Linked DNA regions of Oreochromis niloticus. The protein of the gene in region 4 purifies or fractionates together with the protein of the main gene of each other region. This does not show direct contact. Links are inferred from orthologs where the notes say so. Each region holds a gene or a part of one and is shown on either strand. Other genes may lie near its edges.

Evidence for each region.
Region 1: the proteins of adra1d (region 4) and dtna purify together in Homo sapiens (tandem affinity purification; 4 studies listed by BioGRID and IntAct, with this or other methods). This does not show direct contact. The link is inferred for Oreochromis niloticus from reciprocal best matches to the Homo sapiens genes ADRA1D and DTNA.
Region 2: the proteins of adra1d (region 4) and sntb1 purify together in Homo sapiens (tandem affinity purification; 4 studies listed by BioGRID and IntAct, with this or other methods). This does not show direct contact. The link is inferred for Oreochromis niloticus from reciprocal best matches to the Homo sapiens genes ADRA1D and SNTB1.
Region 3: the proteins of adra1d (region 4) and ctnnal1 purify together in Homo sapiens (tandem affinity purification; 3 studies listed by IntAct, with this or other methods). This does not show direct contact. The link is inferred for Oreochromis niloticus from reciprocal best matches to the Homo sapiens genes ADRA1D and CTNNAL1.

Annotation. Positions count from the first base shown.
Region 1 is NC_031982.2:18,410,483-18,418,178, reverse strand, and holds the start of dtna (dystrobrevin alpha), read right to left. Parts: upstream 3,007-7,696; 5' UTR 2,762-3,006; coding exon 2,745-2,761; intron 321-2,744; coding exon 253-320; intron 1-252. Other genes in the region: ccdc178 (coiled-coil domain-containing protein 178), read left to right, coding at 6,499-6,556. UniProt on the Homo sapiens protein: May be involved in the formation and stability of synapses as well as being involved in the clustering of nicotinic acetylcholine receptors.
Region 2 is NC_031976.2:8,169,994-8,177,868, forward strand, and holds the start of sntb1 (beta-1-syntrophin), read right to left. Parts: upstream 3,005-7,875; 5' UTR 2,258-3,004; coding exon 1,714-2,257; intron 1-1,713. UniProt on the Homo sapiens protein: Adapter protein that binds to and probably organizes the subcellular localization of a variety of membrane proteins. May link various receptors to the actin cytoskeleton and the dystrophin glycoprotein complex.
Region 3 is NC_031985.2:23,066,717-23,074,635, forward strand, and holds the start of ctnnal1 (alpha-catulin), read left to right. Parts: upstream 1-4,906; 5' UTR 4,907-5,301; coding exon 5,302-5,397; intron 5,398-7,919. UniProt on the Homo sapiens protein: May modulate the Rho pathway signaling by providing a scaffold for the Lbc Rho guanine nucleotide exchange factor (ARHGEF1).
Region 4 is NC_031971.2:20,780,765-20,788,492, reverse strand, and holds the start of adra1d (alpha-1D adrenergic receptor), read right to left. Parts: upstream 3,001-7,728; 5' UTR 2,558-3,000; coding exon 1,603-2,557; intron 1-1,602. UniProt on the Homo sapiens protein: This alpha-adrenergic receptor mediates its effect through the influx of extracellular calcium.

The DNA.
Region 1 (7,696 bases), on a different chromosome or scaffold from region 4:
GCTGTATTCCAATAAATTTAAATTAGCGCCTTCACACTGTGCGAACAGACAGCATGAGGTCATACTGCAGGCCTGTGTGTTTAAAAATCAATGTGGTTGACACTTGATCTTTATGATATTTGCTGTACATGAAACTTACAGAGAGAGAGAAAGAGAGAGAGAGAGGGAGAGAGAAAGAAATTGCCAGTTTTACGGTCATTGAGTTAAACAGTCCAGCATAGATCACAGTGAGCTGCGGCCCTGAGCACTTACTCATCTCCACCAACAGTTGCCTTCTATCTGCCATGGTGTCAACGCTCTGCCCGCAGTCTTCAATCATTCTGATCAAGAGGAGAGAAAACAGCGTCAGAACCCGAGTGCCTCAGCATTAGCAGTCGCAACCTCAGGGTGCTCTTCCTCAAGCTTAACATCAACATTAGACACACATCGTTATGACTCAGTGATAATGGCAGTAGATTAAACTCTTGACTTTTAAAGCAATGACTCCTAAACTTGATACAAACGCAGCTTCTCTGTTCTGGTTATCTAAAGTTTAATCAGTTGTGGATATCCTGATAATTCAGCTAAAAGTTGGCTAAAAGCCTTTCACCTGACTTATTCCAGACAAGGGGACAGACTTACTAAATGAGCACATGAGCGCAATAAGTTGCAAGCGATCGCTTGATATCATTAATTTTGATAACAAGCATGTCTTATTTTTTGCACTTTTTTCAGCATTAAATATCAGTGCAATTAGCAAAAAACTGTCCCAAATGTTAATAAATGTTTGCACACCCAATTTTAACATTCTCTTACCGATATTTTGCACCATGTGAAAGAAGCTCCCAGAAATGCATATGCACCAAGGTCAGTAGCAAAAATCAGTGTTTCTGCCTCTTAAATGCAGGTGTGTTTTTTTTAGCTTAAAATAGCCCAAAAAGTCTGCTTTAGATTGCTGGAAGGATGGCAGAGATGTAACACAATTAAACTTCCATCCGTGACATGAAGGTTAAGCACATGTTATAATTCTGAGTTTGCTAACTTACTATGACATTTACAGCAGAAGATTTCTCGTGCACTTCACCATAAAACTGCTAAGTGCCTCCTGCGTACTATATAATGAGGCATTGCTCCCAATTTACCACAGATAATAACAGTATTAAGATGGCTACTTTGTTTTGGTATATCAAGCAACTGACAGGAGCTCATCAACAGGTTGAGAACATCCAAATTTGGTACAGGATATTAATATTATTAATATTTAGTCTGGTGAAGTTTGAACTCATCAAATTAACGTGGTTAGCCAGTTATTCACTTTAGATGCCAACAGTAACAGAGTGTTTAATGTATTTATCACAGTTCCCAATGCAGGAACCCCAGCAACACTCCTTCAACTACTTTATCACAGTTCCCTCATTTTTTGTGTTCGGAAAGGCTAATAAAAGGTCACTGCTCTTTAATTTCCTTACATAAAGAGAAATTAACAGATAAAAATGATCACAAGAGCTGTCGGTGTGTAAACTTCTTAAAAAAACCCAAAAACATCAAAGGGAGCCAAAAGGGGCCCACGGCTCATTGTGCCCCATCATCCCACTGCAGGACAATCCGGCTGTGATAACATCATGCTATACTCCAAATTTGAGAGTATTCATATTTTGTAAACTGCAACTTGAATGCAGCGCAGTGCGGTGGTTATCGGAATATGTTTAAGTTGGACAAGGAGAGGAGTTTGAAAGGGGCAGAGCTGCAGAGAGAGAATGCTCACACCATGCCTCGCTGCACACTGTCCGAGGCAATCTAATACACCTAGTCATGTGGTTTTGTTGCTATGGCAGCAAAGATCCTAGCCGCTTCACTCGTTAAAACACACACTCATACACACACACACACACACACACACACACATATAACACCTCCCACTGCAGACGAGCAAAGTTTGTAGAGAAAAGTTTTTCACCAGTAAATATCTTTTATGAGATAACGGTCGGCGGGCTGATACTTGAGCGCACAGTGACACTTCTTGGGCGAGTGGCTTGAAAACGCTTTTTCTGTGAGACAGTCATTCAGGCATGCTTTTTCAAATTACTCTGACAGTAATTGGTAGACCCAAATATTATGCTGCAGAGATGCGTGGTGCAGAAATTAGAATTCACCTAGTGTTAAAATGCAAACAACACCACAGTTTTCTGGCCCACCTCCTGCTTGCCTTCCTCTGATTCTTGCCAGTGCAGGCAGTCAGTTATGGAGCACTAGGAATGTTTGAAATCCACTTCAAGAGGGGAGAATTAAGCTAATAAGTTAACTTGGAATTATAGGATAAAGTGCAGTATTTCAGTAAATTACTTCACAATAGAGCACAGATCAAAACGGCCACAGAAGAATTCAAACGCTGCCCTCTAATATCGCAAATAATAAATCCCATCAATTTAAAGGGAATGATGAATACAACCACAGCGCTTTTAGATGCAATGTAATGTCAGGCCACTGCCAGCAGCCACAAGTCCAATGTCATCATGAAAGCAATGGATATTCAATCCCATTTATCACTTCCAGACTAAGCAAATATAAAAGTGTACAAATATACAGCATTGTCTAGATTAAAAGTGATACCCTTTGCCACATCACAGGCAAACACATCCAGAGTGCCAGCTACGTGACCTTCTGCGGTCTGTTTTCATTCTTGGAAATAACTGAGATTGATACAATCTATTGCCAGAGCTGATATTAAACCAGTGCGGGGAAGGGAACGACATGATCAACCTTACCTTTCATAAAGCACCATGTTCGTATTCCTTTCCCCCCCTTTCCTGAGCAGAGTTATTACAAAGCCAGGTCGACCTTTCTCCTAAAACAACCGTCCATGACACAAACTCCTTTCAAACAAAACGGGCCCGTGCGGACGGGCCAAACCGAACACATCTGAAACTAGAAACTGTGAGCCAGGATACAGCATGTGCTGTCACTATCTTTAACTACAAATGAGAAGGTGCCACATTCTTCTACAGCTTTGCCGGATCTCTAGTTGCAGACCCCCACAAAACATCGTGCCTGACATCTGGCCCTGGCAAACATTACTCACTCTCTGTGGCACTGCCACACTGGAAGTATTAGAAAATAACTGCCCTTAAAAGAGCAAATCATCTTTTACCACTAACAGTCCAGAGAGAGAGTTAGTGTGACTCATTCCTGCAAGACTCTTGGCCGTGTTTAGCCCTGCCACTCTCTATCCCACACACCCCCCCTTTTCCTTTTTTACGCTGCACAGCATTTCTGCTGGACAAATATCAGACCAAAACAAGCCTTATTAGTCAGTTATTTACATTTTGATTCTATTTCTGCAGCGGCGCGATTAAGAAAAAAAAAAAAAAACCTGAGGAGAGCACTGTTAATTTATGTCCTCCTCCGTGTACTTGGACCAGGCTGACATGCAACAATTCCAAACACAAGCACTTACTAGAGTTACAGTCCAATCTGTGCCGCTGGCTTGGGACAGTACATCGCAGCTGTTACCACTGATTGGCCAGAGTTATTTTTATATCACGAGACTGAACTACACTGGCATCCAAATCCCATCTCCAGACAGGAATTTAAAAAAAAAAAAAACAAGAGGGAAAAGCTGCACTGCTGACTAAAGGTTAATCAACTGTTCTGCTGTGGTGTAGTAAAGGTAGTCAGACGGTGTTCTCCTCATGCCTGGTACCAGCCGGTGATGTCTGCCGGGAGGGCTCTCTGTCACCTGCTGATGATCACCATGGTTTCAGCTGCAAAAAGGGGAAGAACTTTGGGACCCTGACGTTAAAAGAGAGCGCAGACACTGATTTATGGGTAGCAAGTGTCCCAGTGAGTTCTTTGCATGAATTAAGAAGCTTGAATTCTGTAATGTCACAAGAAAACAAACAAGGGGATTAAGTTTGCATGGTTGCCTGTCTAACTATGCAATGTGAAAGCCAACATGGAAACACAAATTTGCACTGAAGAGAGATGCACCTCTGGGTATGGACTCAGTGATGTTGCCCTGTGGAGGTTAGGGCAGCATTACTAAAATCCTAAGAAAGGTAGCAGGACATTGGGGGGTGGGGTGGCAACAGGCACCCTGTGGTACACGCTCAGCCCTCATGCATCACCTGTCATACTCGAGACACCTGTGTGGACATGAGACAAAAGGTCTCACTATTGTAGGAACACCTACCCCCACCCCTTCCTTCCCATTATCCGCGTTTCACTACCTGCACATCTCCCGTTTTAAATCACCCAAAACTTGCCAAACTCATTTCACCCGGAGGGGCAAAGTGGGTTAAGCTCGCTCCTCTCGTTGCCCGTCAGTCTCCCTCCTCCCGCGACTGCAGCAGCAGCACTTTGCACAACACTTACCAGAATTTATTTCGAGGCATGCCATGCAACATCACTGTTTTTCCATCCGCGAATTCGTCGTCGTGTCCCGGGGCGCGATCACGGTTTCTTTGGTGTAGGCTGCTGCATCGCTGCACGTAAGCGGCCGTGCCCGAGCCGCTCTCCGGCACCTCCGAAAAAAAAGCTTGTGTTGTGGAAGAAAATGTTTTTCAGGCAGCGCACACTGGCTGATCGGAACAAGGCAGCTTCTGCCTCCAATATGTGGCCTCCGCGATGACGTAATGCGGAATCTCTTCACTTGCGTCAGCGTGGCAGCAAAAATGTTAAAGTTTGATACAACAAAATATTTTAAAAAGATGCTAAAAACATAAAGGAGCAGATTATGGCGCATAATAACGTGGTCTTATATACACGCATACATGAGGTCGTTTGCAAGTTGCGGCTTTTCGGCATCATGTGGCTTAAAGAAGATGACGTCATGCAGATGAAACAAGTGCAAACCTAATAAAAACAAGAGTGGACAAATAGTTGCGTTAATGGTGACCGAAGTGCAATAATATATCTGTAGGTAGACTACCATTGATTACTTTTTGACTATTATTTTTAATGTGGTTTTGTAACATGCGCTCTTTTCATCATTTGTTTCTTGTTTACTTTAGCGTTTATCTTTTCAGTTCCGATTGTGCTGATAGTCTCGCACTCTAGTTTTTCATGTTTATATGTAATGTTTCTTTATGTTAAATTTGTATTTACGTCTTTAAATGTAACTGGAAGAAGATTGTGAGCTATTCAGGGCAGAGCTTATGTGAATCATAACGAAAACATCATTAAACAAAAAAACAAACAAAACAAAAATATTAACAAAAGGAAAACCCGGGACCAAACCTAAATAAAGACACTACCCTGCCATTACCACACACACATACACACACACACACACACAAAATAAAAAAAACGATAAAAAAAAACAACAATAAAATATTACACTGTTTAAGATTACATTTTTGTACATAAGTGTAGAGTTTTAGAAAGTCCTAAAATGTTTATTCATCGTTAAAATAACCAAACACATTGTAAGAGAGAGATGATATGGCAACAGCATAGCAGCAGTGATGCTAATTCAGTGCGTTTCAGTTTTACTTTTATATATAGTACAATATTACATACAGACATTCACATGGCTTCATAGGCATAACAAACGTTATCAGATTTGATATCATCTTCTTTCTTTTAGATTTGCCTGTTAGTTTATAAATTCAGCGGTTAATGTTTTAATGGTCACATATTTTATATGAAACTTCAAAATAAATCTCCAAAGTGCGTTCCAAGATGGCTGCTGAGTGGTGTTTAAAACTAACGCTTTCTGTGGGATTCTTGGACAATAGGTTACTGAAGTAGGATTGCTGTACCTATAATCGCCTAAAAACATAAAAAATAAAAGTTGAATTTGACATTAATCCCACCTTTGTGAAAAATAATGTGTTTTTAAAAAATAAAAAAGTAGCTAATTTCACATGACTGTAGGAGACCTCCCCGTGCAGCTAAACAGCTGCTGCTCTTGAACGTAACTCGCCCTTCCCGAGCGTACAGGGCCCCCTTGTTGCTAAGCAACCTTCGAAGAAGATTGACAGCAACTTCAGTTGATTCATTCGAAGAAAACTTTAAAGAAGGGGCAACTTGTATTTGTTGCTGGTCAGCTGCGAGGTATTTAATTCAGAAGAGCAGTATCACAGTTTAAGACAGTTCTCTGATGGCTGCCAGCCAGAAGCGTATTAATACAAGTAAGTTGATAGCCATTCATTTTTCCGCTTTCACTTTGTGCCATGACAACGACCTCCCCCAGCTCATTAATTTGTCATTAGCTCAGTTAATTAAACGTTAACTTAACGTTAGCTAAAAGAGCGGCATCCGGAGATGAGTGAAGGTATCAACTTGCACTTAGCGCAACTTTGACCCAAAGTTCAACGACAGGAATTAAATCTATTATAACCCGAGTGACAGAAATATTTAGCTACCAATTATATTTTTCTGTTTTTTGGAGCTAAAGATCCAGGTTGAGCTTAGACAATGAAGGTTAACTGATGTCTCTCCCGCTTTTACAGTGCGCTGAAAAGTTGCTCTATTGTCAGCGATGTGTTCTTTTTAATACATTTTGGGGAAGTTGCAGCAATGCCGGACGTTGAACCCCTCAGATTCCCATCCAGGGAAGGACGACCAAGTCAACAAGGTGAGAAGAGAAGCGATGCACCTGCAAATAAATCCACTTTAACTCTACACACTTTACAACAAGCAGTCTAAATTAATAACGTTAGGGATGTTTTTTTTAGGCTAACACCCTGTTTAAATGTAGAGGCTTGTTATGTGTTAGGCAGTCTTCCAGGCAGTGCTTAAGCATCTGCACCACACAGAGCTATTAAAATGCTGAGTAAATGTAATGATATTTAATGATGTTGAAGAAATGTCACTATCTAACATCATTGGCAAAAATGGCACTGCAAGTGAGGCTCACATGGGCCTCCTCTGTGGCTATAATACACCCTGCCAGTATGATTTAGAGCTAATTCAGCCCACCACTGACATATTGCCTTAGCACCTTCCTACCCAACTTCAGAGTGTATTATTCATCTCAGCTGTTCAGCAGCAGATGGTCTTCCTTTTAGTTTTTCCCTTTTTTTCCCCAGTCTCTTTACTTAGTCTGAGCTACTTCACTCAGAAGCTGTTCTGGAAGCATCATGATAAGATAACTGGTCTCAGTCACGTGGAAAAGGTTGCAGATGTCACTGTCTCGGTCTTTTTGTTGTTGAGACGAGTTTGCAAACTCCTCAAGGGCACACACTTTCTCCTGTGAAGCATAGGTAAGGTTGGTCAGTGTCCGTGTTACCTTACTTAATAGATGTCTTTGGATTTTCTTGCTGTTTTTGGCTTTTAATAACAAAAATGTATTTTATGCTTGAGTAAATTAAACCCCAATTAAAAATATATTTCCTCTGGTGGACGGCTAATACTGTCAGGGTCCTGGCTTTGTTGAGCTTTGGATTCTTGTTTAGTATTTATTGAGATTTTGGTTCCTGTTTTGATTAGACCCTTGTTTTTGTAATGTGTTTATTCGCTCTCTGTTCTATTGTTTTCCCCCTCACTCCTCATGGTTATTATTATTATTGTTATTATCATTATTTTTGATTACTATTGAAGGTTTGCCTTTTCACTGGGTCTTACATCATGCTTTTTATGTCTTCTCTACACCATTCAACCTGACTGGAGCCAATTTTGTCTTTATACTTAGGAAAAACCCTGGGGGCAGTTGTTGTTGCATATGGGCTTCACCTGTTTATCACATCTAAAGGACTGAAACCACAATTCAGCTATG
Region 2 (7,875 bases), on a different chromosome or scaffold from region 4:
ACATCCACGTACAAATCTTTTGCACATTTGCAGACAAAATGCACTAACACACTCTATTCCCACGGGACAGGTACGATCTCCTAAAAGATACATCAGATGTTTCCTCTTGATCCCTTTTCTTATACGATACAGTCTGCCTCTCTCAAATCTTTTCAAGGTGGCTCCCACTCAAGAATAAAATAAAATGGTGCTGATATTTAGGTTTGACATATCACTATTCATTCGATTTTACTTTACATTTGACTAATTGATGCCATTTTGTTGTGCAACACCTTCATGTGTTACCCAATTTCTCACGTGCAAATTATCTCTCTTAAATAGCAGTTACTGTGAAAATACTAACCCTCACAGTAATCTTTATTTCAGCCTCTTTAAATCTCTTGTTAACTGTCCTTCTGTTTCAGTCTCTCATCCACTCAGTCTCCCATTAAATGCTCTTATACCCCTCATTTTTCTCTCTCTTCACCTTCCTCTGCTCCAATCTCCTCTGCCCTTCTTTCAGATCGTGATACAATTTTCAGCTGGGACCAGCATGTCCCCATGAGGAGGGTGATCACCGTGTTTGTGTATCTGAGATGAGAGAGAGTCGTGTGCACGTGTGCATGGGAGAGAGGGAGAGAGAGAGGGAGAGAGAGAGAGAGTGAGAGTGAGAGAGTGACACTTTGTTCTTATTGTCTTGGGTCCAAGAGTCCTCTTAGGGACAGGAATTAAAGAACTGAGAAGTAGGCACTTATGTGCAACAGTTTCCTGTATAAAGGAATGTGTGTGCATGTGTGTGTGTGTGTCTTCACCTTTCTCAGTGTGGCTACCCACAGCCTAATCTTGATCTTTTAGCTGAAAGCAACTGTAAAAAAAATGAACAGGCTGCACATTTGAGGAAGCAAAAAAGGCCAGAGGAAGGGAAAAGATATGAGTTTGATGTTGCATGATTGTCCCATGGCACATCTAGTTGCATAATACCTATTTCCTTAATCTCAATTATTCTTTTCTGCAAAAAGCAATCAGTCTGTAACCTGTTTCCAAATTATGTAATAAAACAGCACCAAATGCCAGTGTTGTTCAAGACTCGGATGACTGCAATCTAATTTGATATAAACAGGGTGAATTAATATCAGCTGCTGGAATAATATTTACTTTCCCGGGTATAACAACCAGCACCTCTCTTCTTTAATGTAAAATAAATTACATCCTACAGCAGAGGTCAAAGTGGAAGCTGTGTTTTTCCCTTTTCTTTTCTTTTTTCCTTCACATTCTATTGCTGCAATAAGTGAGTGACAAGTGACTGTAATTAACTGGAAAGTAGAAAATAAAAAACGTGTCTATTGGACCTGATCGACCCAAAACCCAAGTCTAAAAAGGCAACCATGTGGAGCCAGAGGTTCTTCCGACATTACAGGTGTCATTCAGTGAAGGAGCACTGATCTCCTCACGTCTTTATGTGAGTTTATGGGCATCCCAAAAATATTACGCAACATTTGAGAAACTGACACACAAACTGTTGTGGGATATGTTACACTCAGCTCTTACCGTCGGGGTACGCTTTTCACTCCTTCACTAAATAAAATCTGTACTTGCACGAACATTCACAGAGGCTTCCAAAAAACAACCCGTAATCTACTCAATCAATGGGAGGTTCCCCGACCTCTACCTCTCTTTCAGGTGTTCCTCTATTTCTTTTATCCTCTCACATGCCTCCTCTCCAGTATGCCTTACCTTCCAGAGTCACCTCTTTCCCGGCTCGTTTCAGCGCCTGCACAGCCTCGTCGTGGGTCGCGTCCCGCAGGTTCATACCGTTCACGGACAGGATCGCGTCCCCCACATACAGAGACTGGGTCTGGTCCGCTGCGAGCCCCTTGAATATTTTACTTATGAGGATGGGCATCTTATTCTCCTTCCCTCCTTTGATGCTAATCCCGAGTCCCCCGACTTCCTGCTTGGTCACCTTGACGCACCGCTTTTTGTTGGCGATCGCCTCGGGTACCCGGTCCGGGAGGTCCGTGAACGCGGTGCGCACAGTTTGGGGGCCATTGTTGGAGTTGGTATTACTGTTGTCATGGTAAGATCCGTTGGTAACGCCGTTAGAGTTGACATTGTCATCGACACTCTCGTTAACGTTGCTCTCACAGCTTAACGTGAGCGCTTCCTCGTTCAAGTTGACCAAAACTTTGTGCCACTGCTCTCGCACCAAAACCTCTACAAATCCACTTTTTTGCACTCCAGAGCCAATCGGAACTCCAGTCGCTACTACCACCGCCATCTTTGGAGCATTTCTGTAAAAAATCACATGTGGTTTAGTTCCCAGCGCGCTCGCAAGTTCCACCCTATCTTCTTCTCGCCCGGGCTGGACTTTGCCCCCTCTGAAGTTTTCTGCAGGACTTATATCGAGCGTCCCGTCCGACCAGCCCGAGCTCTTTCAGCGCAAACTCCCCCTCCGCTCTGCCTGCCCAAGATCCTATCTGCTGGGTGGAGTTTTCCTCCCCCCGCCGTCAGCCGATCCCATCTCCAGATCCCGCTTGTACAAAATGTGTACATCATTTCCCAACTTCTTGTAAAACACGCTAACCAGTGCAGAGGTAAACAAACACCGCGAAGATTAGGCAAAAATTCACTTTTCATCCATTCCAGCTACATCAAACCGACAAGACTACCATGATGTGTGCCTACACTACTGTCATGTTAGAGTTGGCTTTACGAATCTTTTACACTGGCAGGAAAATAAAATGTAATTTGTGGAGTAGAATATTTTTTGTTTTGTGCGCTCTTGGGTAAGATGGAACTGAAGTCACGGAAAATTGGCATTTTTTTTCCCACGGCGGTAGATTTTTAAAGACATATTTAAATAATATTAATTAGAAGAAGAATCAAATAGGCTATATGACTAGAACTAATTTCCAGTCTTCCAAGTGTCTAGTGGGTCCCATTCTTCTACGAAAGCCCGTTTTTCCGTGGGTGAAGTGAGAAGGTTTTACGCGCGTACAGGAATGCGTCTGTGCGGGTTGTTTCGAAGAACGAAAGAAGAGAGGGAGCACGTTTTTCTCTGAAGCTCTGTCAGGGAAGGCCTCCCTCTAAGGCTTTGTTTTGTCTACTATTATTCTAAAGGACGTCCTTACGCCCTGTCAATCATGCGCGATCCAGAAAGCTGAAAAAAAAAGTCAGTCAGCTTAGACCTTGAGAGCGCAGCTGGAGATGTCAGCATAGTGACCGGAGCTTCTCGGAGTATCGCTGGTCAGGCGGACCTTTCTTCACAGGCTTAACCCCTGTGTTCAAGTCTAGTGAGTGACTGACAGTGAGGCTGAGACAAAATCAGTTTCATCTCATCACCAGCTCCTGACTGCATCTCAGTAAAAGCTGGAATACTGAGAACAAGAAAATGTTTAATGTAAACGTCTTTAGCTCCGCAGCTGTCTGGCTGTGGATCTTACTCACAGCTGCTCAAGTGCTGAAACGTGGTGAAGTAGACCACAGTGTCACACTAAACTATTAGAAATGTTGCTACGACACCTACCGGTGACGCCTTTAAATACTAAATACTAGAGCTTCTTTAGTGATTTAGTGAATGTATGACTTGGCTGCAGACTGCTAATATAGAGTATTTTACCTCTGTTTTGTGCCATATGTGCACAATTAGTTTGTGTGTGGGATTAAGTTAAAATGTGTCATTAAAAGTTGTTCAGTTATGGAAATATATAGTACAGCGTGGGAGACAAGCTTCCCTACAAGCCTGCCCTCAAAACTATGTCAGATCATTACTACTGAGCTGCACCAAAGACATGATTAACTTGTTTATTGTGAACAAGAGACTGCAACAGAAATACAAAGAATATTTTTAGTTTAATGAGGTGTAGGAGCTACAAGCGATTTTTACTTTTATATGGAAATGAGCTGTCACGTGAAATGTACAATCTTTGTTGTGATAATGACCTTCAAAACAAACAAAGAAACAGAGAGAGAGAGTGCTATCTTTTTAAAGGTGATGGTACTTAAAGGTGTTAATAAATCTTTTTTATATCCCTCCTCGCCCGGCGACTTGATTGCACATTTTGTTTTCAGTGCACCAGAGAGCAGCTGCACAGAGGTGTGGTTACACACAAACACACATGTTCTGTGTTGTGGGTCTGTGAACTGGCTTTCTGGCAATAATTAAGAGGGGGAAGCAGTCAGATGAAGACTTACGTGACGCACGTGTGGCCCGATCTTGTTTTGAGCTTTGTTTTTTATTATTATTATTATTATTATTTGACTTTTTATTGAATAATTTATTCCTTCAGGGCCACCAATGGCACCAAGGGGGGAAAACACACACACTAATTCGTAAAGCTCACTCTGGTTTATCTTTTTCCCCATCTCTCTTCAGCTTTTCTTCAACATCCATCTCTAGTTTTACTAGGCTAATCCTCCCTACTAGGCCTATTTTACCCTAAAAGCATGGATGCTGTGTTTAAAAAAACTTGTCAGCTGCAACATGTTTCAGCTGACAAGTTGAAAAATAGGAAGCTAAAGACCAGGAAAGATGCATAATCCTATAAATAAATAAAGCATTTTTTTCAACAAAAAAGTGAAAAGAATTTGGAGATGATACATTTTCTAAATTTTATTGAATGGCTGTTGTGTATGGCCTATTAATACATGTAATTCTATAGAGGAAACCATTTCAAGGGCTCAGAGACACTTCTGAAAGCCACAGCTACGCAAGGGAGATAACTGTTTGGTGATATGATGAATAAAATGTGAAAATATCTTTTAGGAAATCACAAGAGACGACCATCCAGCTTGCTATCAGTCCATAAGTTTAAAAGGCAGCCCACAGTCTAAAAAGCTGCATCTATGATGAAGTGGAGGGCATTAATGCACATGAATAACTTGCTCTGTAACTGCACCATTAATGCCGAATGATATATACAAGTTTTGGAGGGACAAATGCTTTTTTCCAGAGATCTTTTTCCAGGGGAAGACCTTGCTTAATTCAGTAAGACAATGCCAAACCACATTCTGCATGTATAATCAGAGCCCTGCAGTCTGGGTGCCAAGCAGGAAAAACTAATATATTTGGTGCATTATGAAATGAAACATACAACAAATGAGGCACTTAACTGTTGAGCAAAACCTTTCACTGTCAATTTTCAAAAAGCTTATAGAGCTGATGCGACTCAGTGAGAGACATGGCCCTACCTCAGCTTTTTAGAAACATGTATAGTCATCATATTGCCTCACCAATACACTTTTTATCTATTAGTTTTAACTGGAATGAGAATCGAGTACAATGAGAGAACCTTTTTAAGTTTGCTGCTTTAAGACTGACATGTCAGTTTTCCAATATACAGTGTATACAGGGGGAAAACATGGTGGAAATGACCATTGCTTGGTGGCACATACATCTTTGTGCTTGTTGCAAACAGAATGAGGACACGCTCTTCATAGACCAAGAAAAAAACGATCAGGATTTTGTAAAATATGCTTCTCAAATGAATTAAATGAACACTTGAGATCTCAATGGGAAAGAAAAATCATGCTGGATATCTGTACTCATATCAACTGAGTAATGTGTTAGGAATGAAATGATGCCACATTGTTTGGCGGATATGAAAATTATCAACCAAATCAAAGGGGGGAAAATGATGCAGCAGGCTAGTCCATTACCAGTAGTCCAGTAACTCAAGATGTTAGTTTGTATGGCCCCCACATGCATGTGTGCATACCTGATGATGTCAGGGCTCCTAACGATACACAGTTGGTGTCTTGGGGGATCTTCTCGCAGATCTGGGGCAGGGGCGAATCTAGAATGGTGGCATGGGGTGGCATGCGCCACCCTAAAATGATTTTTTGCCGCCCCTATTACAGCCCAAGTTTTACATATGACAGAGTTGTTTATTAAAATAAGACAGCATTAACACTTTGAACCTAGCTATTATTAACACTAAATATAAATTATAAAACTGAATATATTACATAGTGTTAACCCCCCTCCACCATTAACAAATGGTTCAGCCCATATGCCAACCGGATTTATTTCTTGTTTACAGTAGCAACCCATGCCTATGATTGTGCCAGAGCACATTTTGAATCAACACCACGGGCATTTCAGATTTCACACAGGTGGTTGGTTGTCACACTTTGAAAATGGAATGAAGGTGAGTTTTATTAACCCTCTGAGGTCCAGGACACACCTGACTGATTTAAGCTGATACAGCAACAAGCTGCAGCCACGCTGAGTCTCTATTTAAGCTTGTGTTGAAAGTTCGGACTTCAAAGTATACACCAGTTTTTAAATTTTAATAGCAGGCCACTAAATCTAGAGTTATGATTAAAAAAAATACATATGTTTAGTGCAGAAGAAGTGTTTGTTTTTTTGTTTTGTTTTGTTTTGTTTTTTAAAAAGCATTTTCTAAGGACAGCGCGAAAACAGTAAAGAAAGGAAAAAAAGCCACCTCTTTCCTACTGGTGGAAAAATGTACGATTTTAACCAATAAAAAAAATGACAACATGAACCAAAGATAGAGAGCGATATCGACAGCGAGTTTTGAGATGTGGGAGATTTGTGACGTTTAGCGTGGAGTGTATAGTTAGTGTGCTGTGTATTCGCTGTTTTGTTTTGTGTGTCAGTGAGGGCACTAATGAATGTGACAAAGGCAGATTGTAATGTAAACACTGTCTCCAGGTGGAGTGATACACCCGTTGTCAGGCCTGCAGGGTTTATCGGTGTCTCCTCTGTCTTGTGGCGGACAAACAATTTTTTTTACTGGCACAAATAATTTGTGGGTCATCTTATTGTGACACCTGATTGTTCTCTCATTTTCGTTATAGCAGTATTTTTAAATGGTTATACAAAAAATCAAACTGCCAGGTGCATTGGCTGCATTTTTAGATAAATAGTTGTATATAACATTATTGTTTACAAAATTTGTGCATAGGTTTTCAAAATTTAAAATTTATATTTGCATTTCAAGTTATGAAAATAATTTACTAAACATGTCTGTGTTTTTTACAGTAAAAAACAACAAAGGATTTTATGTTTTTTGTGTGATTTCAGATCAGTTATGTTAATATAGTAAGTCAATGAAAAAATAACTGTAAATTCAGATTTCTAACATTTTGTGTGGCCATTCAGTAATATCACTTCAGTGTTGTTTATGTGTTGATACACAGTAACTTGATGTTAAACCTTATTAGTCCGACAGAAACAAAAAATAAGCAGCAATAAGCAGCAAATTAGGTTTAAGCAAAATAAATGATCTGTTACTTAGTGGTTAATTTTAGTTTTATCAGCACATGATGGTTTGGCAAAGAAAACAAGTACTCCTGAGAGTTTGGGACACTCTTTTTGGTAAATATATTTTATTTTGAATTATATTAGAAACCACAGGTATACAGTTTCAATCAAAGTTTCATCGCCACTCTGTGCCTTCATGGCTTACATGACTGAGCCCGTCTATCCATTCACCTGTTCTTTCATATTTCCCGCCTCCTCATCCTCTCATATTTCTACTGACTTACAAAACTTTTTCCCAGCAAAAATATTTTTTCTTTTACTTTGATTACAGGAAAAGCACAGCTGAAACAAATTAGATTTGTGTTCCAGTAAGCCATGTAAGTGAGTCAGCGTGCACACCACAAGGATGCTGGATCTACTCCACCCAAATGGAAAGCAGTTCTTGTCTACATGTAGCAGAACGCTGGATGGACATTAGAAAGACCAGATATATTTACTGGTTAGCTTGCAATTGAGATTTGTGCATATGGATAAGGGGGTGGTGTGATGCTGAATGGTGAAAAGGGGGCTGGGACATTAAGTTAATGGCAACTGGACAACTGACTGACACAAAGCTATGCAAATATGTGAGAAGCCAGCTGTCAGTGTGACATGCTGGTGCCAAATGG
Region 3 (7,919 bases), on a different chromosome or scaffold from region 4:
CACTCTGTATTGAGGGTGAGTGATCGCAGCTGAGCTAGCTGCTAGCCAGACAACCTTACTTGTAAAGAAAAAAAGAAAAAGAAAAAAGCCCCCTGGGCTTTTTGGGCTTCAACAGCTGACACTTTTGTAACAAGAAGTTTTCGGGGCACCTATTTGACAGGATCAGAGGGGAAAATGTGATGGAGACTGTGAGGCCTTAAGTCATATCATAAATGACAGTGTAGCCAAGACAAACAGGGACAGACCCAAATAATAAGGAAAGTGAGAAAGGATGAAGGAAGGGAGGGTGTTGGGCCTGTGTTGGCTCACCTCTGACCATGCTGACTTACGGTATACGGGTGTGACAAAGACAAAACAGACACCCTGTCACCAACACTTCAGCAGAAAATAGATTATGCCCGGCTTGCTATTGTTGTCCCTCCTCAGTCACAGTGAAGCGGGATTTAGACAGACTTGGCAGGGTGAGACAACCTCTCTATGGGGCGCACGCCATGTGGAGGATACCCTATGGCTCTCATCTTTGGAGTGTCAGCTCATGAGTGGCAGAAAAGCCATTTTCAGATGCAGCCAAAGAGCTTCATCTGTGACGAAGTATCTGTATTATCTCTCATCCGCTTGTGTCTCTGTGGTTGCTTACATAACGCATGATTAATTCGATCAAATGTAACAGGTCATTGGAGGAGAGGGGAGATTTATTTAGGAAAGATCCCATTCATCTCTCATAAAGTGGAAAACAGGGTGTATATGGTTATGTGAACACATCTTTACACTGTAAAAACTCTTGTAATTCAATTCACACAAAGTACTTTAATTTATCCAGCTGATGCACTCTGCATCAATGCTGATGGCCTCATCATGAGGTTATGCTTGGAAGATAAAAACGTTGTTTCCTGCTATTTTGTGTATGTCAGCGAGGTCAGTTTGATAAGAAATCCACAGTAATGGATTTATGATTAGTTAACAGAGTCTGGAGTCCATATCATGACAAATGTTGTGGATATAAATGCAGGTTTCTTTACTTTTTCTGTGTTTTCATTATATATAGAACTTTTCATGTTACATTAATGATAAAACTAATGCTATTCTTTCTGTTGTTACTTCAGAAAGTCTGAATCCTGACAGAAATGTAGAAACACACTTCTAAATAATTTCCACAAAATGGTGAAAATCTCACAAGGATGAATGAATACACAAAATGTCTTTAAATGTTCCACTCATTCATTTTATTGTACCATTTATTGCCTACAGGTGCAACCAAGGATCTCTGAAGATAGTTTTGTTAGAATATAGTAAATTAGAGAATCACTAGATTGAATTTTATATTCTACAAGAGTACTTAGGGGCTGATGGACGATGAAGAGACCTTCTAATATATTTTTTTAATATCTAATAAAATATCGTTCTGGTTTTTCAAACCCACAAAAAGGCATACTTTGCCACTGTAGTTGCAAGAGTCTACAAAAGCACACCTAATGAGTCTATAGTCATGCTTTTACAATTCCAAACTCCCAAGTGATAACAGCATTTTGCAACAGCTCACTGTGAATACTTTCTCCGAGCTCTTTCTTCAAGGTGAAAGAAGTGGGATTATCTTGGTGCGCACTTGCGTGCGAGAATGCAAATTAAACTAATAACCATTTATGTGTGTCATCTCCACACGGTCCCATGTGTTTGTTATTTCAAACAGCAGAAAGCATCTCTGACAAACGAGGCAGCCTTCAGAAAAAGGAGGGAAAAAAAGGAAAAAAAGGTGATCTGGATGAAAACAGAATGATAATGAGGCTATGTGAGGTGTCCGTGATTATGTAACAGCAGAAATGGAGACGCGGAAAAGCCGAGATTGCAGGGCTGGGGTGTCTGCATGCCACTTTGCTGCTGCCTGGTTTTGTTTATGTACAATTAAATTTGTCTTGTCCCCGAGGGCGCCTCCTTGGCAGAAGGATAACATGACCCGCTTCTTATTAGCACTTGTACTTAACTCTCCTTTTTATTTTGAACATATTAAAATGTCTTTCCAGCCAGTGTCTGTTATTCTCTGCATATTGTTTTCACTCAGGCAGTGCAATATCCTCTGACACCACCACACCATAAACACCTGGGATTAAACTCATCTAACATTACAGACAACTGAAACCTTTAAGCCGCAACATAACTATAGGTCACTTAAATAAAAGCAATGCAAATCCAGCTGAACAGCCAAGCAGGACACCTCACCTCAGCCTGAACTCCTCTCTTTCACAGAGGTCTCTGCGGTCACTGTATCGTGCTAAGGGGATGAGTTCAGCTGCAGGTCTCTGTGAAGGCCACGGCAGCTTTACGTGCAAGACCTAAGTTCATCTGATCAGCACGCTGTAGGTTACAGTTTCCCCCGGAGGACATGAATTTCTAAGCTGTGCATAACAACTGCATTAAGCTGCTAAGAAAAACAATGAAAAATAATGTTGTGCGAATGTGTGAGGAAGATTGTGATCACAAACATGCGCATTAAAAGCATGCTTTCATGCAGGCATGGGTTGTTTCCTCCAGCTGAAAATGTTCTACTGTTTTAAAAAATGCAAGGGGAAAAAAAATCCATCAACATTCCACCACAATCCTCCCTTTGAAATCCCCAAATTTCAATCTACTTATCCAGCAGGGGACTATGACTGAGTGCACTCATTTTACATCTTGTAGACTGCGAAATCACTATCTCTTTAGGCTCAGCAGTTCCCGTCCCAGGAGCTGTACAACCAGAAGGAATGATCCAGAGAGAGAGCGAGCGAGAGAGGGAAGTCAGCACTTCTAAAGCACGGGAAGAGACAGTAGCAGCTGTTAGCAACACAATCACACCACGCATAAGCATCTTTTATTTAATGAGCAATACCCTTGGACTGTGCGAGACGAACATACACATCAGGGGCTCCCTGCTTATGTGCCGTTTCAGGCAAATTGTCAAAATGGAGCATGCCTCAAAGAGATTAGAGGCAAAAGAGCAAATATTGAATATTCCAGAACAAATGAGATGCTGTTTAGAAAAACAAGCCAGTGTCACAGCTCGGATGTGGCGATGACAAAAAAAGGAAAAGGAAAGAAACAAGAACAGACACGCAACTGCGTTTGGTTCAGATTGTGTATTGGAAGCTATCCGTCTTGGTGATAACTAATCTATTTCAGTCAAAATGTTACAGGATGTATCATATTTCTTATCTCACTCTTCCACTTGAACTTAAATGCTGTGACCAGCATCATTTCAGCCAAAACAAGCTAATACACCACAATGCAAAAAGGAACCCGAGTGGAGTTTATCGCCTTATCAGCTGGAAAAGAGCCTCAGCGCAGATTACCAAGAAACATACAGATACTATCTAGCTGGTAGTAGAGCCATTCATCAAGGTGGAGCAGAACCTTGTCCACACAGCAGCCAACCTACTTGCATGCCTTCATAATGATGCATTGCAAACGTGTGTATTTGTGTGGGTGTGTACATGTCTGCTTGTGAATATATGTGTGTATGTGTGTGGAGTGAAACCAATGTAAACAGGGAGGGTTAAACTAAAGCATAGCTCTGGGGTTTTAAATAAATACTGGCTAGGCCTGAGAGTGGCAGACACATACACTCACACAAACACAATAGTTGTCTCCACTGCTGACACAAGAGTGCCAGCCAGCCACCATAGGTGATGATAAAGCAGGCAGCAAAAGGCGTCACTAACAGTGCCACGGTGCTTATAAGCCGTATCTGGTCTCTGCCATCTGCTGTGTTTGTAATGTGAATCGTTTCTCACCACTTGTCATCCACTGACTGCACTTGTAAAGTTAGAAATAGCTTCCGGACCCGCTTGAGGAAACTGAGAATTTTGGCAGTCGTTTGGTCGGCCTCGGATACAGGCAGCCACAAAGTACATTCGGTTCTGTTCTGCGGATACAAATCACCAGGTCACGAAATAAGAAGAGGCATCACAAGGATGAGACGTTTCCTCCTCATTTCGGAGTGTGAAAGAAAAGGTTTAAAGGTTTGTAGAATTCAAACATAGGCTGTGATCTGTAAAAGGACTGGACACCTGGGGAATTTGGGAAATACATCTGGGTAAGTTCAGTAGAGATACATGTTTTGACTCTCTCTTTTGGCCAAATAATGAAAACCAGGGGGGGGAAATGGTTGTAAAAGGAAGTCAGCAACACCTCTAACTGAAATGAATGTCATTAGTGATGCAAAGCTTTCATAACTAAATTTTCAGTCATTTATTAAAGTCTGCGTAAGAAATAACTGTTTTGATTGTAGGAATTCAGGCAGATCCGCTCGTTCCCTTTTGTTCCAGATAACAAAATGTCAGCGTTCAATGCAGTTTAGCTGATTACCACCAAAATAAGGAGGCAGAATTAAAACACAAGAACTTTACTGCAGGCTTACCAATGCAGTCACTCGAGATCCCTTTTTAGTTTCACAGCCTAGAGGACATCAAATGGTACATCATGAAAATGAATGTTTTCCCTCAAGACAGACAAAGGGTAACATTTGTAACTTCATAAGATCCCAGTCCATGTGCTTTAGTGCTGCCTGGTTTTAATTGGTATGTCTGGTGAGGCTTTCCAGAGGGAAAGTAAGGCATTCTCACACTCCAGGGGATAATATAGGATTCTGTGTCTCAGAGATCAAACCAGAACTGTGGTGTGAGTGAGGCAATGCCCCTTCCTCTCTGATGCCCAGAGCCATGAAATCTTCATTCATTTTCAAAAGCAATAAAAAAAAAAGTACATTTACATCAATTAATGATGCATTTCCCTTTATAATGTCCCTTCTTCTAGGCGCACTATAGATCAATTTGAAATGTAATTAATACTTAAATGACGTAACTGTAATTGCCACGTGCGTGAACACGTACTGTATATTAAAACATAAATAGCTCCCGGATCATCACTGTGCAGTGCACACAATGATGAACTGCTCAGCGCTCCCCACTTAAGCAGTCAGCAGTGAAAAGCCGACTGCGTGTGCGTGCTCTGTGCGTGGTTGCCCACAGTGGTGTGCTGCAGTCCGCTCCCTGCCGTAGTTGAGTAAAGTACATGGACATTAGCGGGCGCAGCGGCACAACCACCGAGCTGGAGTGGATTAAAACTGCGTGCGTGCGTGGAGAGCCACTCGACGACCGACTGCGAAACCCCCGGAGTGTAATCCCAAGTCCGTTACACCAGTTTGCAAATGCGAAACAGCAAAGCAGAGGCTCTCGGTAAACTCAGTTAGTGGCGTGCATTGTGTGTATGTGTGTGTGAGAGTGTGTGTCAGTCAGGGAGAGAGCGAGAGAGAGAGAAAGCTCGGCGGGAATGGCTTCATCTCCGTGCGGCAACAGTAACTTTGATTCCGGTCTGGAAATCAAAACTCGCTCGGTGGAGCAGACGCTTATTCCTTTAGTTTCGCAGGTGAGTACTCCGGAAACCTAAATCGTGACGTTTAGTTGTCGTATCCGAAGCCCTTGCGCTCTCAAACCACACTTTGACTTTACAGCTGTGTCGAGCACATGACACCGATTCTGTTGTTTACCTATTTGTGCACTGTGTCTGCAGTGCGTGCTTCCTTCCCGTGCTGCGTTTAAAAGCAGTCCCACGTGTGAATAGTTCAAGTTACGACACTGTGGTCGTCCTGTAACTGTTGTAGAAAACGGAAAAGTAACAATACTCAAAGTTGTCTTAAGTTACAAAGGTGGGCACAGCCAAGTCTGAAGAAAATAAGCTGTGGATACGCTGAACGGGTAACTAGGGAAGTTTGTGATTTACAGAATTACATAACAGACTAGAACAATGCAGGGTAGTGAAACTGTTCACACCCAGAAGACAATAAAATTAATTATGATGATGGTTCTTTATCTTTGTGAGGCGATCACAAACTCTCCAGGAAGTCTTCACACTCTTCAGAGAGTAGCCCAGAAGCCGTAAGAGTTTTCCCTGAAGTCCTCCTTCGCCACTCCTGAGCTGTCCCCGAGCTGTGGCTCTCTCTTCTCTAATTGAGCCACTTTAAAGCACGTGCTTTGTTTTTCAATAAACACGGGAAAATGAAGGACCCACTTAAGGCCACTGCACTCCTTCAGCAACTCTCCACTCTTGCACACTTTAACAGTCCCCGGATTAAACAAAACAAGGAGCTTAGGTCAATGAGTTAATGAATCGTTTTATTGTATTTTGGTTAGAAACTTGAGGCTGTTTGGGCCATTTTAGGCTTTGATTTGCATGACTATCTTCCGCTCTTGTTTCCAGCATGTCACAAAAAATGGGGAAGTCGTCTGCTCCTGAATAGGGAAGTGACCACTAGTCTTATAAATGCTAATATCCCCCTGTTTTGTAGGACAGGGTTGTGGTTTTCACTGGAAAGACAGTGGGAGAAATCAGCATCTCACTGCTGGGTTAACAGAGGCTGGATAATACCACACTGGGAGGCCCATGACACTGTTCCTGCTCCTCCTGTGCTCACTGACAACCTGCTTCCTCCCTCTTATTGCACAGGCTCATTTGAAAGATATAAGGTCATCCTGTCCTGAATAGATATGGGTTACTTATCAGAAAAGGACATCTGTTAGAGGGATGTGCTTTCCATGTAGTATGATAAATCAGAGCTAAATCTGTGCAAGTGTATACCGGTAGTGCAAGCAGGAGTTGGGGGAACAATATTCGCACTAAGTACTGCTGGAATAATGCGCAAAAGTGTACAATAAAAGTCCCATCCCTTGTGTTAGTGTAATATTTACAGTCCAGCAAACTTATGGTGCACTCCTGCCCGCTGAGTTATTGGCTGGGCTCCCGTCTGTAGAGGGGTAAACTGTAATATGCATTCAGCTTATTACAGTCCATAGAGGGCCTCAAGGACAGTGTTTCCTAATTTTCTTTTTTTCTCAGTGTAAGGCATGTCCCCATAGCAACAGAGCTCTGCAATGCTGAAAGAAACCACATTTTCAAGGACCGTCAACTCCATATGTAATATTTTGTTGTCGTTTTGTCATAAGAACAAGGTCACTGTTAACTGATACACAGGTCTTTGTGTGCAAAAATGCACAAAACTTTTTTGTTTTGTTTTTTTTAAAGAAATTATTCTGAGTATGAAATGATTAGTCTATTTTACAGAAGCAATAATTTTGACAATCTGATTCTGACAGTGGATGTTATTTGAATTTAGATTTTGAAACAAGACTTTCTCTCGGGGCTTAAGTCAGCCTTTTCTTCTGTTTGTGGAGATGCAATAGATTCAAAGAATAATTGCTTAAGGTAGAAAATTGTTTGTATGAGTAATCATGACCAGCTAGCCTTCATTTTCTGTCTAAAATGCAGTGAATAGAGCAGCAACAAAGCTGTTGTCTTGTCATAATTCAAGAAGGACAGTAAGCTTTATTCTGATTGTAAGGATGGTGACTTGCAGGTGTCATGATATGATAATAAACTGCTTATTGAGATTCCACAAGGAATGTGCAATATCTAAATTAATGAAAAAATAATAATTAATGGCAACAAAACAACTGTTAGTATTCTAAATACTTTTTCCAGTAAGAAACTGCTGTTGTAGATTACAGTAGGTACACTGGAAAATAACGGCTAATATATCTGCAAGAACTTCACCACAATTTACAGGAAAACAATCCTGAACGCTTGCTGTTTATGTGTTTTTGTGTGTGCACTGAATGAGAGAAGAAGAAATCTGTGGTTCGTATACGCTTTGTGAGAAAAGTCAGTAGAAAGACTGATGGTTAACCCAGCTGTGATAATAAAATTACCTGGCTTCAGGTGTGTATGATAACTTTGTTAACGCCCTTATGTGACATTTCTGAGAATGAGTATTGCCATACATGCGCATCAATTGAATTAGTGTACTTAGAAACACTGACTGTGAGGGCTGTGTTCTGCAGCTTGTCTTCTTAAGGAGCGTTGTATGTATGCGTGTGTGTGTTTGTGTGTGTGCG
Region 4 (7,728 bases):
CAAATTGATTAATAATGTGTGTAATGAAATGTGTACTGACTTTTAGCATTTTAAACCTTTAAATTTCATTCCTGTCATTTTTAATCACACGTCGAGGATGGAGTATCTGTCTGACTTAGGCATACAAATAAACTTGCCCTTTTCTTTCCCATTAAGTGAATAAAATGATAAGTAGCACCAATTTCATTTCATGCACCCCGTGTGTCCCTGCAGGCTTTGCTCTAATACTTCCAGTCTGTAAAAGGAGAGGTGCAGCAAGAATCAGAGTGCTGTGTTAGTGCTATGCCCAGTAAGATAGTGGCCATTTGTTCTGAATGGCTCTCACAATCAATTATGTGAAATATATGCAAAATGAAAATCCGTGGTGCCACCATTAACATGTGGCACCAGAGCTCTGTTAGTCTAACTCTAGGTGACTCTAGTCTAGCCTGAATCCTGCTGCGTAGGCACGCTTTATTTATTCAGTTTTGCATTTCAATCATTCTTTTTGTTGCTAATATCCATATTGCCTCTTTTTGTGTTTTAAGTTGTTCATTTATGTCCAGTTTTGTCTTTAAATTTAAAGCTATTTCCATTTGATTCCACTCTAAAATGTGTTCGTTCAGTTTGATTTATGTGTTGCCTTAAAGACTGAATTGGTCACCCTCAGCGGATGGCCTTTTCAACCATCTGCAGGGGGAAGAGAGGATCTCTTTGCCTGATTTGAATCTTACATCCCACTCTCTCAGTACTGTAGTCAACTTAATGAATATCCTCAACAATAAAACATAAATGTTTATTCCTTAAAATCATGCCTGTCTGAGTTTTTACCAAGGTAAGTAGCCGGCTGGAACTGGTCATCAGTGAAGAATGTCAGTCTGTTATGACTGTTCTTTGAAAAATGTGATATTAGCCATATGAAGGAATAATTACAGTCATGGAAAAATTACAGGCATGAAAACAAACCACTTTAATGGTCATGTTGCAGAGCTGACCTTTCCTGACAAAAGAATTTGTTTTTGTAGCATTATAGCATCTTAATTTTCATCACTTCCTGGCATAGCTCCCAAAATAAACTCCGTATCAAAACCAGAACACGCAATTTTCTTCTTTTGTTATGCCAAACGCTGATTTTACAGAGTTTATCAACAGCTTGAAAAGGTTTTCTTAAATTGAAATTCACGGAATTTCATGCGTTTAGGCTTCCTTTGCGACCATAATTTTGAGTCTTTTATAAAAGTCTGTGCAGCTGTCAAGAGGAGCTGCTTAGACGCAAACGGTTTCAATCACAGTGTCAATTTCTTATACTGAACACGACCCATTTAGTCAGAACGTTTTACTTTGGACCGATTTGCATCTCACACATGATCAGTTCAGGAGTAAAATCATAAATCATAGCAGGCCCGAAACAGGCTTGTTTGTTGCTCTTAAAGATAGAAACTTTTTAAAGGCGCATTTAGGAGAGGAACATTTATAAGAAGTCATATTCTCCGTCTTTTGCAGGAGTCTGGAGGAAATGCAACAGACTGAATCCTATTTTACGCAGGACCCAGCTCATGACCCAGCATGAAGTGCTGAGAAACGATGATATAAAAATAAAACAGATCAATAAATAAAACATACCCATTGGCAGAAAGAAGAAAAAGGGCAGCCAGCAGAGGATGAACATCCCCACCACTATGGCCAGGGTTTTCGCAGCCTTTTTCTCCCTGGAGAACTTCATCAGCCGCACGGAGAGCGAACTTCGAAACGGGTGGTTTTTGCTGCTTTTTGAGCTCGACGGACGCGCGTCCTCCAGCACGCTGCGACAGTGTATCCGCAGGACCACTTCCATCGACTTATTTCTCTCCCGTTTGACTCCCGCTTCCAGGCTCCGAGTAGTCCTGCGGGCCACCACGTACACCCTAAAATACATGATGAGAATGACCATGAGCGGGAGGTAGAAAGAGAAAAGCGAGGAGAAGAGCGCGTATCCCGGCTCCTCTGTGATCCTGCAGATGCTTTCGTCCACAGGCGGCGGTTCCTTCCATCCCAGGAGCGGACCGACCGAGATCACAACAGATGATACCCACACTAGGACTAAAATAGCCACTGCCTTTCGCTCAGTCATAATACTTGGGTACTTAAGGCAATATTTCACGCCGATATAACGGTCGATGGAGATCATACAGAGGCTGAGGATGGATGCCGTGCAGCAAAGCACATCCACGGCTGCCCAGATGTTACAGAAAACCCGGCCAAACACCCAGCATCCCAGCACCTCTAGAGATGCAGAGAAGGGCAGCACAATAATGCCCAACAGGAGGTCTGCTATGGCTAAGTTGACAATGAAGAAGTTTGTGACGGTCTGTAACTGTTTGTTGCACACCACAGACAGGATAACCATAATATTCCCAACAATTGCCACCAAAATAAAAACGGAGAGAAAGATCCCAACACCGACAACCTGTGAGTCCATTGTGAAGTTCCTGCATGTGGTGATGCTGTCATTTGGTAACATCTGGTCCAAAACAGATCCATTAAAAGAAGTGAAAAACAGCCCATGGTTGCTTTCGTTCCTCAAGTTAGAGTCTGTCATTTTGAAACGCCATAAAGAGAAGTAAGGGAGTAAGTTTTCTGAAGAAAGCAGTGTGACACGCGTCGTTCTCAGTCTCCTTTCATTGTCTTTCCAGTAAGGTTGCCAAGCAGCCGTTCACACTGTCAGCATTTGTCACGGGTCAAGCGAAGGGAAAGTAAAAAGCAACTAAACTGAATAAAAAAATAAAAAATAAAACCGATGGAAAAAAAACCCTGTAAAAACTACATCCACAAAGACTGACTCGTGATTAGTGTTAAACTCACTTAAACGTGTATGTACACAATGTTTAATAAACTATAAAGTTTGGATGCCATTTTTAAATATCATTACAAAAAACAAATTAGGTAAATTTAAACATATTTCTTCCATGCGACGGGTTTCCACTGCTGGCATCCTTCATAACAAATCCCAGAGTCAGAGCTGGTACAGCAGGTCTGAACCTACTGCACAGCTCCACCCACACCACAAAAAACATAATGATGGGCTCACAGTCTCCACCAGAGAGCGTATATGTGGTCACGAATTCTGCATGACCGCTGCAAGTGTACAAGCCTTAAATGCTCCAGTGCTTTTTTATCACCAGGGTGATGAAGATGCGCTTATAGGCAAATAAAGTTTGACCAAAGAAACAAACAAAACAAAGCAAAAGGACACATGTTGGAGGTTTATTTATTTATCATACACCAGAATAAGCCTCTCTTTCATGCTATAAGCATAAAACAGTGCCACATCGCTGAGATCATCCAAACTGCCACCAGGCACCGACAAGCCATACTGACCCCTGGTGTGAAAATGCGAGTGCCTTCAGGCAAAGTGGTAAAGCTTCCCAGTGACACTGCAGCTGCTTTCTCCAGGCCTGGTGTGCATAGCTGAAGTAGAAAGACGGGCCTGCACAAACACTAGGGAGCCCAGAGGAGAGGAAAGGTCAAGAGGCAGGGTCACAGAGAGGCCAAACAAACCCTGCATGGAAAACGATCAACCCAAAACTACCGGTCTGTTTAGTGTAGCAACAGAGCGTGTTGTGACACACAGTTAATACATGTCTCCAGGATGAATCTCAAACATGTCTTGGCGAAAAGTAATCAACGACACCTAAACACACCACACCAGGATGCTGTGGTGTGTGGATTCACATACATATTTATAGAAGACAGTGTCTAGCTTTTGCTGGTACTGGACTATTGCTCTCCTGCGTGCTGAATGCTCCCCGCTGATAGTGATATCTACATCATGTTAGATTGAAACAAATGATTGCCTATTTCCAAGTGTCCATCCTGCAGGTGCGTGCAAATTCAGTAGCACTTTCTTTCTTTCATATTTCGTAATAAGAAGTACTGAATCATGCATTGAATGAAAAGCAACTTAGGAAAAACTTCACTAGTTTTCATATCACACAAGGCGGCAGAGCACTCTCAGAGATCCATAATTACAGCTGAGACCTCTTCAGATTGGTTGGTTCCCCCCCCCCCCCCCCAAAAGACCCTAATGATGATTACACACCAGATAACAAAATTGCTGGATGGATGGATAAAAACTGAAGAGACAACTTTTCTATTCTTAGATCCTTCGGGCTGCAAAAATGTGTCAAATTTACCCTAATAACAGAGTCAGTTAGTGAGTGTTGGTGAAAGTGCTCAATGCTTTTAAAATTTTTGCTTCTAAAATATATGTTCATAGAAAAAAACTCACAAAAAAACAAGCTGTAAATTAGGTACGACATGCTTCAAACATGACATGCCCACCCGTCACCTCATTCGACCCTACAACACTGAGGCACTCTACTTCCTGTTTTCATACTGAACACTGGCTCTGGACTGAAATGTCAGGTATGCAGTGTCCAGTATGACGAGTTCAGTTCAAATCAATTCAATTTATATATATATATAGCGCTAAATCACAACAACAGTCACCTCAAGGCACTTTATATGAAAAGGTAGATCCTATAATAACACAAATACAGACCCCCTATGAGCAAGCACTTTGGTGACATTGGGAAGGAAAGGAAAGGACTAGTCAGAGTTGATAGAAAGAAGAAATATTTCTTCTTTCTGATTGTCATCCTTGCATGCAGCTATAGTTTGAGCTAAGTAGCAGAAATGCTCACCAGAGTTAGTATCACCATCAGAATTTATTCATTAGGGAATGTGAATTTGTTAACCATTTCCATGCTAACGCACTGAATGTGATCACAGAAAATATGGCGGTTGGCAGTGAGCAGTGAGACTGACTGTCCATCAAACCAAGTAGCTGAGCAGTTTAGATAAAAAGCCCCAAAGATATATTAGCAGCTTGGGTCTAATATCGACTCAGGAGTCTGGCTACGGGCAGCAGCATTTCTGTTTCTAGTCACGGTGAGTCTGCTCAGCTGTCAGAGCACATCCTTTATTATTAAATTTATAAAAAAGAAAAGCTACAATCTCATCCAGCCCACCTGTTCCTCCTTATAAGAGAGCTAAATCCGCAGTCATGCAGAAAGGACTTTAGACCGCACTAACGCAGGAGATATTTGGACGAGCATGTTAGAGAATGTTTGAGGTAATGATACATGGGATGAACTGGAGGTCACTAAAAGTAATGTCCTTACCAACCCGCTCAAGATTTCCACTCAGGCAGTTGAAATAAGAGAATTTCACATCCACATTTGGATAAATGGGTAAGATTTATAGTCCCTACTTTATGGAGTGACCCCACTATAGTCAAATATTTTATTCCTCACTAAATTCTCAAAGTTTAAATATTGATTATTGTGTTCAAAAGTCAGTACAGTGCATAAGTGCAGCTCTATTCATCTGATGTCACTGTTCCACCAACAAATTGGAGAATAAAGCCAACAGTCAAACCTCAGAGTCAGAGTTTTGTTTCATATTCAGTGTACAAACTGAAAAAATACTTTGATCTTTTTTCACCCTTTTTTTGTTCAGACTACAAAGGAATATGTTTTACTGTCTGACACACAGTGCCAAAAGATTTTGTTCATTTACAGTAGCGGTGGGAATTTTGCATTATGTGGTAAAAAACAAACAAATGTACTGCACGCAGAATGAGTGTTTGCAGTTTTTGTTTTTTCCTATTCAGTTTTATGTCATTGGAATTTTGTTTTTACTTATATGTAGGCATTTATTTTGTAAAGTGCCTCCAGGCATTTAATATTGTAAGGCAAAGACACTTCACTATTTCAGAAAAAACTTCAACCATCATGAATCTGACGATCTCCTGTGAGTGAGCAGTCGGCGACAGTGGGGAGGAAAAACTTCCCTTTAACAGGAACATTTAATGACACGCAGTAGCGGCTTCTGGCTTGCTGTGAGGGGTAATCCTAACATTTCCTGCTTCTCATTTTTTATGTGTATGTGATGATGCTTGATCTCTATAAATCAACTGTGAGTCGTTGTGTGCATTTCTGTGTTGTTCTCTCTACCCTGACTCGGGGACCGCCCTGCTTCCTGTGGAGCCAGTGGTTTGCCTTCATATCTCAGGAACGCAACTGATGATCAAAGTCAATTTTTCACAACCTCTGCCCCATTCCACTCACCCTCAGAGGCTTTTGACCTCTATCAAAATTCCTGGTATTTCCTATGATAACGTACTGTATGTTTCCAGTGAGAAAAATGCCATTGTAGCCTTTACAGCCTAAATCATTTCTTAAGCAGTCAGCCATCGACGTGTTAAAAGTAAAACATTCCTCGTGTGATTTATCTATTTCTCTCTGCGTTATACTGAATGTTTGAAATGATGTTTCAAGCTGTCAGAGAGTGGAAGGACGAGTAATCTGCTGCCTGCTCATATCTTCGGTTCCATTTGTTATGGTGCTAACCCAGATTTTTGCATATTTAGACATTACACACGCACACAGACACATAAACACATTCTTCCTCTTTCCTCTCAATATGGCAATCTGCACTAGACTTTGAATGTGTGCCATCTTATCAGTTCTCAGCAGAGTGCTTGGATTCAGTCGGCCACAAGTCATGCTTTGATTTCGGCTCATACACAACTGTTCAAAGGCTAAAATGTTTTAATAGGTCAAACAGTCAGAGGTTTGTTATACTGCTTCTCGAATTGCAATATTTTGTATCTCGGAAGGTAACTGGCCTGCAAGTGTGTTATTTAAAAAAACATCATCAAAGACAATGCAAACTTTCCATATTTTTAAGAATTAGTTAAAGAAAATAAAGAAAAATTTGTGGACTTCCTAATACGGCTTTCAAAAACATATTTGCTGTAAATCAAAGCTATTTTGCATCAGAGTCGGAGAGCTGCTCTTTTCACCCAGGCTTCACTGTAAATCCAGCAGCAACAACAACATATGGCTCTCTGCTTGTATTCAAAAGTGTTGATTTACACCTTGGAAACGTTCCTCAAAGAGCTCTGTGAGCAGATGGGAAAATTTGTTGCCTGTTTTCATTTAACAGGATCTAAATTGGGGCATTTTTCACACTTTTCCAATGCTTAATTAGTGCCATTACAAAAAGAACACATAGCTGCAAGTGGAAATGGGTGAACAGAGAAGCAGTGTCATTATGTTTTCACCATTTATCATGTCCATTCTGCCTTTGACGATGCAGATAGTTCTCTATTTTATCCTTAACCTTCCAGGCAAGATGTATTTATAGAAATATTTTTTGTCTATATCTATTTAATTTATATTTTGAATGTCTTGATATATAGATTTTTATCCAAAATCTAAAATTATATCATTATGTGACTCAAAATGTAGACTTTTTTTAATGTATTCTTATTTCATTTTTCCCCATATTTATGTATGTATAATTCTGGACCCAGTCAGTGACATCATAATACTTTTAATGCATAAAGACTGGGCTTACAAATAGGCCAGCTAAAGGATAAGCACGATTTCTGACTCTAAGCTTTTAAATTAAGATGTTTGAAACTAGTCTCAAATGTGGACTGCTATCATGGCAGCTGTGGAATGCAAATCATATTATGATTGTCAGTTTGGATTGGCATGTTATGAGATTATTCTGTTTGTATAAAAGTTATAGGGGTCATGGCACAGGACCTGAAACAGACCAGAGTACCAGCATGCATGAAGAGGAGAATCTGAATCACTGGGAATGATATGCTCTAAGAATTAGAAATGAGCTGTTTCAGATTCTCTCACGAAAGTCTCAGGACAGATGTGGTCTTTTTCAGGCCTAATTTGGGGCACT